Linked DNA regions of Macaca fascicularis. The protein of the gene in region 1 purifies or fractionates together with the protein of each later gene. This does not show direct contact. Links are inferred from orthologs where the notes say so. Each region holds a gene or a part of one and is shown in the gene's direction. Other genes may lie near its edges. The genes, in order: METTL9, SLC39A10 and SLC30A5.

The links.
Region 2: the proteins of METTL9 (region 1) and SLC39A10 purify together in Homo sapiens (co-immunoprecipitation; 3 studies listed by BioGRID and IntAct, with this or other methods). This does not show direct contact. The link is inferred for Macaca fascicularis from reciprocal best matches to the Homo sapiens genes METTL9 and SLC39A10.
Region 3: the proteins of METTL9 (region 1) and SLC30A5 purify together in Homo sapiens (co-immunoprecipitation; 3 studies listed by BioGRID and IntAct, with this or other methods). This does not show direct contact. The link is inferred for Macaca fascicularis from reciprocal best matches to the Homo sapiens genes METTL9 and SLC30A5.

What each region holds. Positions count from the first base shown.
Region 1 is NC_088394.1:21,447,237-21,451,329, forward strand, and holds the start of METTL9 (protein-L-histidine N-pros-methyltransferase), read left to right. Parts: upstream 1-1,263; 5' UTR 1,264-1,405; coding exon 1,406-1,570; intron 1,571-2,315; exon of another isoform or gene 2,316-2,350; intron 2,351-4,093. UniProt on the Homo sapiens protein: Protein-histidine N-methyltransferase that specifically catalyzes 1-methylhistidine (pros-methylhistidine) methylation of target proteins.
Region 2 is NC_088386.1:91,310,399-91,314,045, forward strand, and holds part of SLC39A10 (zinc transporter ZIP10), read left to right. Parts: intron 1-2,651; coding exon 2,652-3,647. UniProt on the Homo sapiens protein: Zinc-influx transporter. When associated with SLC39A6, the heterodimer formed by SLC39A10 and SLC39A6 mediates cellular zinc uptake to trigger cells to undergo epithelial-to-mesenchymal transition (EMT).
Region 3 is NC_088380.1:74,748,777-74,753,045, forward strand, and holds the start of SLC30A5 (proton-coupled zinc antiporter SLC30A5), read left to right. Parts: upstream 1-1,456; 5' UTR 1,457-1,723; coding exon 1,724-1,812; intron 1,813-4,269. UniProt on the Homo sapiens protein: Together with SLC30A6 forms a functional proton-coupled zinc ion antiporter mediating zinc entry into the lumen of organelles along the secretory pathway.

The sequences.
Region 1 (4,093 bases):
GGATCGTCCCACACTGCACTCCAGCCTGGAGACAGAGCGAGACTCAGTGTCAAGGAGAAAAAAAAAAAAAGCTGTTGGGTAAAGAATGATTTTGTTCCACATCTGTGGCTCACCACCCCACTGTTTCATAAATGAAAATCTCTGATGCGCAACATCGAATTAACCAAAAGGTTTACTTCTTTTGTTTTGAACTTAGACACATTTACATTATTTCTGGTGCAGTTAAAAGCACTTTCCAAACAAACCTAGTAAAGTATTAAAGTTAGGGACCCCCACGAAATATGTTACTCCTTAATTGTGGCGTGGCTATCAGCAGGAAGAACTGCAGTCACAGGAACACAGTGTACTTAACCCTTCAGTTCTGAAATGTTGCTAGGTCTTCTCGTGCTATAACTGATCAAATAAATATCCGGGTTAAACACTGCTCCCAGAGCTGAGTTCGCTCTGAGTGTTGGGTCCACCTTTCCTTGTTAATTCAAGGAAACAAGTCAGCCAAGGAGTCTAACTTGAGGTCTTCATTCTTGGGCAGGGCCATCAATACATCTAAAACATTACTTGTGGGTACCCAAGCTGCGGTAGCTTCCCTAAAAGGCAGAATTTTCACTCATTCCTTATAGAAACACGTAGCCAGCAACTTCTCAGGCTTGGGGAACGGGGCAGGCGGGTAGTGGTGGTGGGAAGGGGAGAGGAGAGGAGGGAGTCTAGCAGGTCGGTTCTAAATGCAAACTGGAAACTACGCATCGGAGCGGGTAACCAGTACTGGCAGCATTCGTCTCCGGGAAGAACCTGTGTGTGTCAGGATGCACAAAAGGAATGACTCCCCTCTTTGCGCCCCCGGAGTTAACTGCACGACCCGGTCAAAGTCCCGCCGTGGAGTGGGATGACGGTCCAGAGGTAACGACTAAGGCCAGGAAAGCCTAGAGGTCCTTCCGGCACCACCTTAGAGGGGCAGGAGGGCTGCAGTTACCGCCTTCGGAAGTGATCGCCTCACGCCTCAAAAAAATTAAAAGCACCTCCGCCATTACCAGAGGCCGAGGCAGGGCCGGGACACGAGAACGCCCTCCGGGCGGATGCGCGCTCCCTTTGTCCCGCCTCCCAGCGGCCCGCTCACTGGACCGAGGGAGGACGCCGGGAGAGAAAACGCCGCGGCCGCTCGTAAGTGCTCCGGGTAGAAACTGGTGCAGGGGGCAGTGGCGTTCCGCGGTCGGAAGGGATGGGGGAGGAGCCGAGGCTGCGCGCCGGCTGCTCCTCCCCACCCCCAGCCTCTGCCCTGAAGGGGGCTGGATGGGCAAGTCGGACGCGATGGCTCGAGCTCGGGCGGTGGCGGCTGTGGCCGGAGGCGGCGGTGCCTCCTCCTCCTCGCCCCGGCGCCGGCGGTGATCGGAGCGAGCTGCCGCGGCCCCCGATGAGACTGCTGGTGGGCTGGCTGTGCCTGAGCCTGGCGTCCGTGTGGCTGGCGCAGAGGATGTGGACGCTGCGGAGCCCGCTCACCCGCTCCCTGTACGTGAACATGACAAGCGGCCCGGGCGGGCCGGCGACGGCCGCGGGCGGCAGGAAGGAGAACGACCAGGTACGGGTCGGGGCTGGGGCCGGGGCGGGGGCGTGGCGGCCCGGCCTTCCCGCGCTGGGCCCGGCTATTGTGCGGGGCGGTTCCGCGAGGGGGCGGCCCGGCCCTTGCCCCTCCGCCTCGGCCTCTCGGAAAGTTTTCCCCGCGCCTTCCCCTCCGGGCGTCGGCTTCGCGAGCCCCGGGGACCCGGGCCCGGCCCCGCGAGCGCCTTTTGTTCCGCGGCGCAGGCGGGGCATGGCCTCCCCTTCCCCCTCCCGGGCCCGATCGCGAGCGCCCCGGAGCCCCGCATTGTTCCTGGGTCCCGGGCGGTGACTGCGGACACCCGGCGGCGGGACTGGGGAACTTTGGGGCCAGAGCGTGACCGGGGGCGCCCGCTTGGCACCGAGGCCTGAGACTGAAGAGACCCGGCCAGATCCATTACCCCCGAGAAACAAAACGAAAAGCCAGCACCTCTTTTTGTCTCGATGAATCGCAGAACGTACAAAGGGTCGTAAAAGAAATGTAACTGTACATCGCAAGCCATTGAACTCTCCGGGCTGATTCGGGTGACATTTCCCCCTAAGCGCTTAAAAAATGGGTTTGACAGGTTGTCGCTCCCATCCTACGGAACCTTCCCCTCCTACCTAGCAGAGATCTCCTTTAAACTTGGATTTAGTCAGCCTGCTGGAAAGATTGTGTGTGATGAGGAGGAAGATTATGCAAGTTTTACAGGAAGCATTTTTAAAACCGAACGGGACGGGAGGGAGTTGTAGTTATGCATCGTGAGCGTTGCGCTGTGACCTGGTAGGTAGGCTTTTCATTAGCTCGGTCTTGTGCCACTTAAACGTGTACAGGTTAACTGTAGAATTAGGTGAGATGTTTCGTATTTGACCGTAACACAGTTTGCAGTTAATGTTAAATTCATTGAAAAGAGGCTTTTGAACTCTGCCAGAGTGTTGTCTTGTCATAGCTAGCATTTATAGTACATTTTGCTTTTCCATGGATCACTAATTATTCCCTATATCATCTTGTGTCTCATCATTTTCATATATTTCTCATTTTCCTACGTTACTTTTTTATTATGCCAGGTGTTCAGAGAATTTACACCCAGGTTGATTTCATGTGTTTTAATGAGGGTAGAGAATTGTCTAAGAAGGAGATAGAGCAATTTAGAAAAGTAGCATTTCGTTTTTAGTAATATTTATATTGGACTTTTTTCTATTTGTAAAGGAATGCTAAATTTCTGTAAATTTTTTTGAAAGCCTTCAGCCACTGCAGTTTGTTAGATGCAATTATCAGTATCATTGATCACTTGTATGATATGGTTAGGAATGTACGTGAACTTAAATTACAAAGCCACATTTATTCCTATGGATTTATGATGAACTTATACTAGTTCATATAGAGACAACTCAAAGTACTGTACCGTTAATTGTACAGTTATCAGAATGTCACATATGGAACAGTGGTGTAGACAATGAATTAGAAATGTCATTTTTAACATTTTTAAGCAGTTGATAGAAATAAGGTGCTGGATAGGAGAAAAAGCGGTTTATCTCCATTGATGTGGGATTATGATTGAGTCTCTTAGCTATTGGTATTTATGATAACACTTATCATGATTACCCCTCCTGCAGCCACTTGATATGTTTTCATTGCTCATAAAAGAATTGCACTTATCTTAAAAATTGAAACACTGTTTCAACACTGATTTGTATGGAGGTGGAATTACAGCTGTAGACATAGCCTCAGAATATCTCCCAGCAGAGGATACTTTTCTAATTGTGGACCTTTTTAAAGCTGAATCTGTTAGGTTCTAATGAAGACTAATACTGGTTTCAGATACATTTATTTCAGATACTATATTTATATTGTGTGTGTGTGCGTGCGTGTGTGTACCCCTTCACTAACAACTGGGCAGATAATTTCTTTAGGGTGAAGACTTAATCCGGTATTTTCTGAATATTTGGGGGAGGGGTCAACTCTTTTCCTTAGAATAATGAATCCAGACATTATTTTGACATGAATACATTCATATTATGAAGATAATAGTCCATGAATAAAGATTAAAATGAACAGAAGAAAGCTGTGTAGAAACCACCATGAGATAAAGTAGGAAACTGTCCTTTCTGCACTGTGGCTGAGTTGATAATTTGTTTTCCACTTAATATTCCGGGATCCTGTGTTTGCCTTATAACTTCGTTGCTTGTGAAATAACTGTAACTGTTTTTCCTCCTTCAGATTAATAGTTTTATACAAGGTCTTCTAAGTGTTCAGTTGGGTGTGTGAGTTCCATAGCCAGCCACATCTGGTTCTTTTGGAGTTGCATAAAAGCAGGGTTGTGGATTTGATTGAACCATACTTAGTGCAAGTTTTCCTTCTGGTTATTTTATTAAGGAATTATGATGGAGGATTCTGTGGTTAAAAGAGAGATCTTGGGCAATGTTTATTCATTAAAAATTGCTATTTTGTTAGTGTAGTTTGGAGAGGCAAGGCTCCTTTGGGCTAAAGCTGCTCTAAAACTGTAGTAGCAGTGCCATTTTAGTA
Region 2 (3,647 bases), on another chromosome or scaffold:
TTAAAACCGAGCGTGGTGGTACACACAGCTACTTGGAAGGCTAAGTGGGAAGATCGCTTGTGCCTGGGAGTTTAAGGCTCCAGTGAGCTTTGATTGCGCCACTGCACTCCAGCCTGGGTGTCAGAGTGACATCCTGTCTCAAAAAAAAAGAAAAAAAAAAACCCACATAGTTTAGTTCTATTCCTTTTTACCTTTATATAAGAATTATACTGCTTTCTTTGTTTGTCACTTTTTTCCCAATATTTGTGAAATTCATCTATGCATGAAGCTGTAATTTCATTTTTATTCCTGTGTGATAGATTTTTCTGTTTCATTTATCATTTTATTGTTGATGAACATTTAGGCTTTTATCAGGTGTTTTTTGTTGTTGTTGTTGTTTGTTTTTTCTTTGTTTTTTTTGACCAGAGTCTGTCTGTATTGCCCATGCTGGAGTGCAGTGGCACGATCACGGCTCACTGCAACCTCCGCCTCCTGGGTTCAAGCTATTTTCCTGTGTCAGCCTCCTGAGTAGCTGGGCTTACAGGCACGTGCCACCATGCCTGGCTAATTTTTATACTTTTAGTAACAATAGGGTTTTACCATGTTTGCTAGGCCTGTCTTAAAGTCCTGACCTCAAGTGATCCGCCTGCCTTGGCCTCCCAGTGTGTTGGGATTACAGGTGTGAGCCACCATGCCCAGCCTTTTTTAAGTTTTGACTGTGGTAAATAATGGTTATGTGAATATTCATGATGGTATTCATGTACATGGATTTCTGTTGGGCATATACCCCAGACTAAAATTGCTGTGCGAGTGCATAGGCTTATTTTCAGCTTCTGGCAGATCTTGCCAAACAGTTTTTCAGAAGATACAATCTATAATCTTACTGTCATTGTACACAAGTTCCATTTAACTCTATATACTCTTGCCTACTTTTGATATTGGCAGTATTTTATATTTTAGTTCTTTTTATGGAGTATATAGTGGTGTCTAATTGTGATTTTAATTTGGTTTCCTGAAGACTTCTGAGCTGAACATCTTTTCATTTGGTTCTTAGCAGTTTGGCTGTTATGAAGTGCTTGTTCAAGTTACCTACTCATTTTTTCATTGGGTCGTCTTACTGTAATTTTCATTTGATGTGTAGAAGTTCCTTATATATCTTTTAATGTACATTGTGGTAGTCTTCTTCCAGTCTGCAGCCTGCCTTTTTAGTTAGGTTTTTGTTTTGGATGTCTCTTGATGAAACATAAATTCTTAATTTCAGTGTAATATATTATCAATTTTGTGTTCTTTCTCGAAGGTCTTAAAATTAGTCTTCCAAATCTTCAAGATCTGCACTTTCCAGTACAGTAGCCAGTAGCCACATGTGTCGATTGAGCACTTGAAATATAAATAGACTGAATTAGGATGTGCTGTAAGTGTAAAATACATGACAGATTTCAAAGACGTAGTATTAAAAAGAATGTAAAATATTTTAATGATTTTTATATTGATTAGATGTTGAAGTTATAATATTTTGGATATAATGGGTTAAATAGAATAGTATGAAATTAGTTTCATCTATTCTGGAAAACTTCAAAACTACGTAATTGGCTCTTATATTTCTAGATTCTTGAAGTATGCTTGTCCAATAGAACTATCTATAATGATGGACATGTTCTGTGTCTACATAGTAGACATTAGCTACATGTGGCTATTGAACAATTAAAATGTGGCCAGGGTGACTGAGAGGCTGCATTTTAAATTTAATTTTAGTTAATTTAAGTACCCATATGTCACTAGTGGCTACCATTGAACTGGACAGTTCTGGACACTTTATCATTTTAGCATTTCTTGTTTCAGATTTATGTTCACGAGCTATTAGCAATTGATTTTTGTAATAATGTGAGGTAAGGGTCAGATTTTATTTATTATTTCCTTTTGTGTGGAAACCTAATTGACCAAGCACCAAGGAAAAGACCATCCTTTCTGGTTTTTAGCTTTTGTCTTCTGTTCCTTTAGTCTATTTGTTAGTTACTGCACCAAATACCACAGCGTCTTTAATAATTCACAGAGTGAATGCTTCAATTTTGTTCCTCAAGGAACACATCTTAGCCATTCTTGGCCCTTTCCGTTTCCACATAAATATTAAAAACAGTTAATCAGTTTTCACAAAATAATTTCTGAGATTTTGACTGGGATTGTATTGGATACATAGTTTATCCAATCGTAACATGAAATAGCCATCCATTTATTTAGGTCTTTTATTTCTCCTAATAATTTTCTCTCAATAATATTTCTCTCAATAATTTCTCTCTTTTGTATGTAAAATTCTTGTATGTCTTTGGTTAGATACATTCCTAGCTATTTGCTACTGTAAATGTTACTATTTTTGAGTTTTGTTTTCTAATTATTGCTGGTGTATCAGAATATAATTTATTACTGTCCTTATATGCAGTAACTGTACTAAACTAACTTATTAATTCTTAAAGATTCTTTAAGGCATGCTGCATAATTAATTCTACCATTTGTGAATAATGACAGTTTCACTTTTCTCTGATTCTTAACATATTTTATCATGAAGGAAATGGAGTAAAACTTTTTTTAGTGGATTGGCAACTTCTAGAGAATTTGTGATTGTTTTGAATGTGTCTAGGTAGAAACTAATACTTGTCTGTCTCTTTAAATCTCTTTAGGAAAAATAGAAATGAAGGTACATATGCACACAAAATTTTGCCTCATTTGTTTGCTGACATTTATTTTTCATCATTGCAACCATTGCCATGAAGAACATGACCATGGCCCTGAGGCGCTTCACAGACAGCATCGTGGAATGACAGAATTGGAGCCAAGCAAATTTTCAAAGCAAGCTGCTGAAAATGAAAAAAAATACTATATTGAAAAACTTTTTGAGCGTTATGGTGAAAATGGAAGATTATCCTTTTTTGGTTTGGAGAAACTTTTAACAAACTTGGGCCTTGGAGAGAGAAAAGTAGTTGAGATTAATCATGAGGATCTTGGCCACGATCATGTTTCTCACTTAGATATTTTGGCAGTTCAAGAGGGAAAGCATTTTCACTCACATAACCACCAGCATTCCCATAATCATTTAAATTCAGAAAATCAAACTGTGACCAGTGTATCAACAAAAAGAAACCATAAATGTGATCCAGAGAAAGAGACAATTGAAGTGTCTGTAAAATCTGATGATAAACATATGCATGACCATAATCACCGCCTACGTCATCACCATCGTTTGCATCATCATCTTGATCATAACAATACTCACCATTTTCATAACGATTCCATTACTCCCAGTGAGCGTGGGGAGCCTAGCAATGAACCTTCAACAGAGACCAATAAAACCCAGGAACAATCTGATGTTAAACTACCGAAAGGAAAGAGGAAGAAAAAAGGGAGGAAAAGTAATGAAAATTCTGAGGTTATTACACCAGGTTTTCCCCCTAACCATGATCAGGGTGAACAGTATGAGCATAATCGGGTCCACAAACCTGATCGTGTACATAACCCAGGTCATTCTCATGTACATCTTCCAGAACGTAATGGTCATGATCCTGGTCATGGACACCAAGATCTTGATCCTGATAATGAAGGTGAACTTCGACATACTAGAAAGAGAGAAGCACCACATGTTAAAAATAATGCAATAATCTCTTTGAGAAAAGATCTTA
Region 3 (4,269 bases), on another chromosome or scaffold:
ACAGATGTGCCTGAATTACACAGTTTCACAGGCAGAGTTTAAAGAAAATCAATTCTAAAAAAGAAGACAAAACAGTTTGCAGCAACACTTAACAAAATCCTCTTCCTTCTCCTATGTTCTGTCCTTACACACTTGGATTTCAGGAACTCCAACAACGACAGTTACCAGTACTCCAGGCCCCACACAAAAAGCCACAAAAGCAGTCACCTTCCTCAGTTATTTTATTTGATAGATGACCCCAGGCTCCCTGTGGCAAAGAAGAATCCTTTCTTTTTCTTTCTTCCCCCCGCCCCCCGCCCGCCCCCGAGACTTTCTTGCTCTGTTGCCCAGGCTGGAGTGCAGTAGCATGATCACGCCTTACTGCAACCTTGACCTCCCACGATCCTCCTGCCTCTCCCTCCTGAGTGGCTGGGACCATAGGTACATGCCACGCCTGGCTAACTGTTTTTTGTATTTTTTGTAGAGACAGGGTTTTGCCATGTTGCCCAGGATAAGAATGTTTCTTTAGAAATCTGGAAATTGCCTTTACGTTCCCTTAGGAGTAGGAGAGAAGGCCCTGAAGATTCGCACATGGTCACTCCTAGAAAATTGCCCTGGGATAGTTTGCTGAGGAGGCAAATTTTGGACAATACTAGTTTCTTCTCTTCAAAGTCCATCAAAGGCATTGTTCAAAAGAAATGGCTGTACCGCTATTTGTAATCGATTCTCTACAGCTTCAAAAATAGTTATCTCTGGTTGGGGGAAGGGCACCTGAACTTTTAAGACTTGAGGCCTTCTTATCACAAAAATGATCCATACTCACAAAAACCTAAGAGGCAGAGGGTATGTTAACCTGGATTAAGAATCCCTAGGCCGAGTGCGGTGGCTCACGCCTGCAATCCCAGCACTTTGAGAGGCCGAGGTGGGTGGATCACCTGGGGTCAGGAGTTCGAGACCAACCTGACCAACATGGACAAACCCCGTCTCTACTAAAAATGCAAAATTAGCCAGGCGTGGTGGCACAAGCCTGTAATCCCAGCTACTTGGGAGGCTGAGGCAGGAGAATCGCTTGAACCTGGGAGGCGGAGGTTGCGGTGAGCCGAGATCGCGCAATTGCACTCTAGACTGGGCAACAGGAGCGAAATTCCATCTAAAAAAAAAAAAAAAGAAGAAGAAGAAGCCCTAACGCAGAGGAAAAGATTGGTGAGCTTTGTTTAATCACACTGGCTGTACATTTTCGACGCCCCCTCCCTCTGCTCTGCAGGAATCCGCTGTACTTCTGACGGCCCATAGGTGGCACTGCAGGGACAGGAAAGTGCACCGGGAGCGCCAACCGGTGAGGCTGATAGGCGGCGGGGCTTCAATGCGCCACAACATGGCGGGAGGAGCCTAAGAAGCGGCGAGGAAAGGCAAGTGTTCCGCTTGCGCAGACGCAAGGCTGGGCACTCCCCTGGGAGTGAGGGTTGCTGGGCTTGATGACGTGGCTTGGCAACGTCCCTACTGGCGCTGCCTCCCGGGAACCTGGCGCCGCCGGAACTGCCCGCGGCCTAGTCCCGACGCGCGTGTGCTAGTGGGCCGGAGCCGGGGACAGCAGCGGCAGCAGCAGCGGCGGCCCGGCCTGCGGGAACCCGACGGGGCAGCTGCCATGGGGGAGTGACGCGCCTGTGCCCGCTGTTCCGCGACAGCGGCGAGACATGAGGAGACCCCGCGGCAGGGGCAGCGGCGGCGGCTCGTGAGCCCCGGAATGGAGGAGAAATACGGCGGGGACGTGCTGGCCGGCCCCGGCGGCGGCGGCGGCGGCGGCCTTGGGCCGGTGGACGTACCCAGCGCTCGGTAAGGGACCTATCCGAAAGGCAGCGACCGGCCGGGCCGCTCAGGATACACCTTCCCAGGCCTCCGTCCGGTCCCCGCTGACAGCCCGGGACGTCCCGGGGTCGGCGCGCCCGCTCCCTCTGCCTCTCTCCCTGCGCGCAGGCTGCCTCCGGGCTCCCCGGGCCCTTCGGGTGCCCGCTGCAGAATGAAGGCGCTAAAGCCAGAAAGCTTCTGCTTGAATTTCTGGGTTACAAGGCAGTCAGTCAATCTTAGAACTGCCCGCCAGATCAAGTGAGAGGTTTTTCTGATCTGTGAGAAGCCTTTCTCTTGGCTGTTTCTCCCTGAAATAGTCTGGTGACTACTTAATCTCTCTGACGTTTCCCTGCATAAGTTAGGGGAAGGTGTCACCATCATCTCTCGTCAGGCAACGAAACCAAAGTACATACGTGAACTTGGATGTTCAGATTAACCGAGCACATCGAGGGTCCAGCCCTATTTTCTTTTTTTATTTTATTCTTAAGTAAGAAATGTGTCTTCGTTGTCAAAAAAAAATCTAACCAGCACAGCAATTCATAGAGTAAAAAGTGAAAATTACCACTTCCTCTCTCCAGTTCTCCCACCAACCCCAAAAGTAAGGGACCAACAGGTGCAGCGACCACTTTCGAGTATGTCCTTCCTAAATTCTGAGATAGTGTCAAAGATGTACAAAATATAGCCCTGCAATTTGGCTGGAACTGTGTTCATTGCCTCCAATTTTAACGAGTTCTTCTCATTCTGGAACAAATACTTTCTTTGATATTTAAAGAAAGTGATAAATGTGATAAATTCTTTAGAACTGTAGTAATAACATTATAAAGTAACCTTTTGTTTTTTGTTTTTTTTTTTTTTGAGACGGAGTTTCACTCTTGTTGCCCAGGCTGGAGTCCACTCACCGCAACCTCCGCCTCCCGGGTTCAAGCGATTCTCCTGCGGCAGCCTCCCGAGGACGTGGGATTACAGACATAGGCCACCACGCCTGGCTAATGTTTTGTATTTTTAGTAGAGACGAGGTTTCTCCATGTTGGTGTGACTGGTCTACCTCAAGTGATCCGCCTGCCTCGGCCTCCCAAAGTGCTGGGATTACAGGCATGAGCCACCGAGCCGGCCCAACATAAGCATTTTTTATAAAAAGGAAAGAACACCACATAGGACAGAACTTAAAGCAACTGCGGCCGGGCGCGGTGGCTCAAGCCTGTAATCCCAGCACTTTGGGAGGCCGAGGCGGGTGGATCACGAGGTCAGGAGATCGAGACCATCCTGGCTAACACGGTGAAACCCCGTCTCTACTAAAAATACAAAAAAAAAAACTAGCCGGGCGTGGTGGCGGGCGCCTGTAGTCCCAGCTACTCGGAGGCTGAGGCAGGAGAATGGCGTGAACCCGGGAGGTGGAGCTTGCAGTGAGCCGAGATCGCGCCACTGCACTCCAACCTGGGCGACAGAGCGAGACTCCGTCTCAAAAAAAAAAAAAAAAAAGCAACTGCATTTTTGTAGCATACATTTAATTTTCTAATCTATTTAGAGCATCTCATTTTGTAAATAACAGCATATCAGATGTTAATTATTGAGACATGACAACTAAATGCAGTAGGCAATTCTGGTCTGATTTGGTAGGGGGGAAAAGTGCTTTAAAGGACGTTACTGGGTCAATTGACAAAATTGTACTATGGACGGTAGATTAGATAAAAGTATCATATCAGGCCAGGCGCAGGGGCTCACGCCTGTAATCCCAGCACCTTGGAAGGCTGAGGCAGGCGGATCACCTGAGGTCGGGGGTTCGAGACCAGCCTGGCCAACATGGCGAAACCCCGTCTCTACTAAAAATAGCAAAAAAAAAATTAGTTGGACGTGGTGCACGCCTGTAATCCCAGCTACTCAGGAAGCTGAGGCAGGAGAATGGCTTGAACCCAGGAGGCAGAGGTTGTGGTGAGCCGAGATCGCATCACTGCACTCCAGCCTGGGTGACAGAGCGAGACTCCGTCTCAAAAAAAAAAAAAAAAGCATATCACTTAAATTTCCTGAAGTAAACAGCTCTGCTGGTTTTATAAGAGAATGTCCATGTTCTTGGGAAAAACAAGTATTTAAGCATAAAGAAGCATGAAGTATGTAACTTACTCTCAAATAGTCCAGGGGAAAAACCTGTGTGTGTGCATTTAGAGAAAGAATAATAAATCACATGGGATGATACATTAACAATTACGGAGTCCAGGTAAAGGATATACTATTGTAACTTTTACGTAAACTGGAAATTATTTTTAAATGAGTAGTTTAAAAGTGTTATTTATTCAAGAGTGTAAAGAGCGTAATGTCTCAGGTAGGGAAATGTGGTAAACAATCCTTTGCTATTTTATTTGTACTATTTACTTAGCAGAGTTGCCCTTCTATTGTAGTTTATTGCAGAATCAAATTCAACTCAGAACTGGTTGAATTTTGATGAATTCC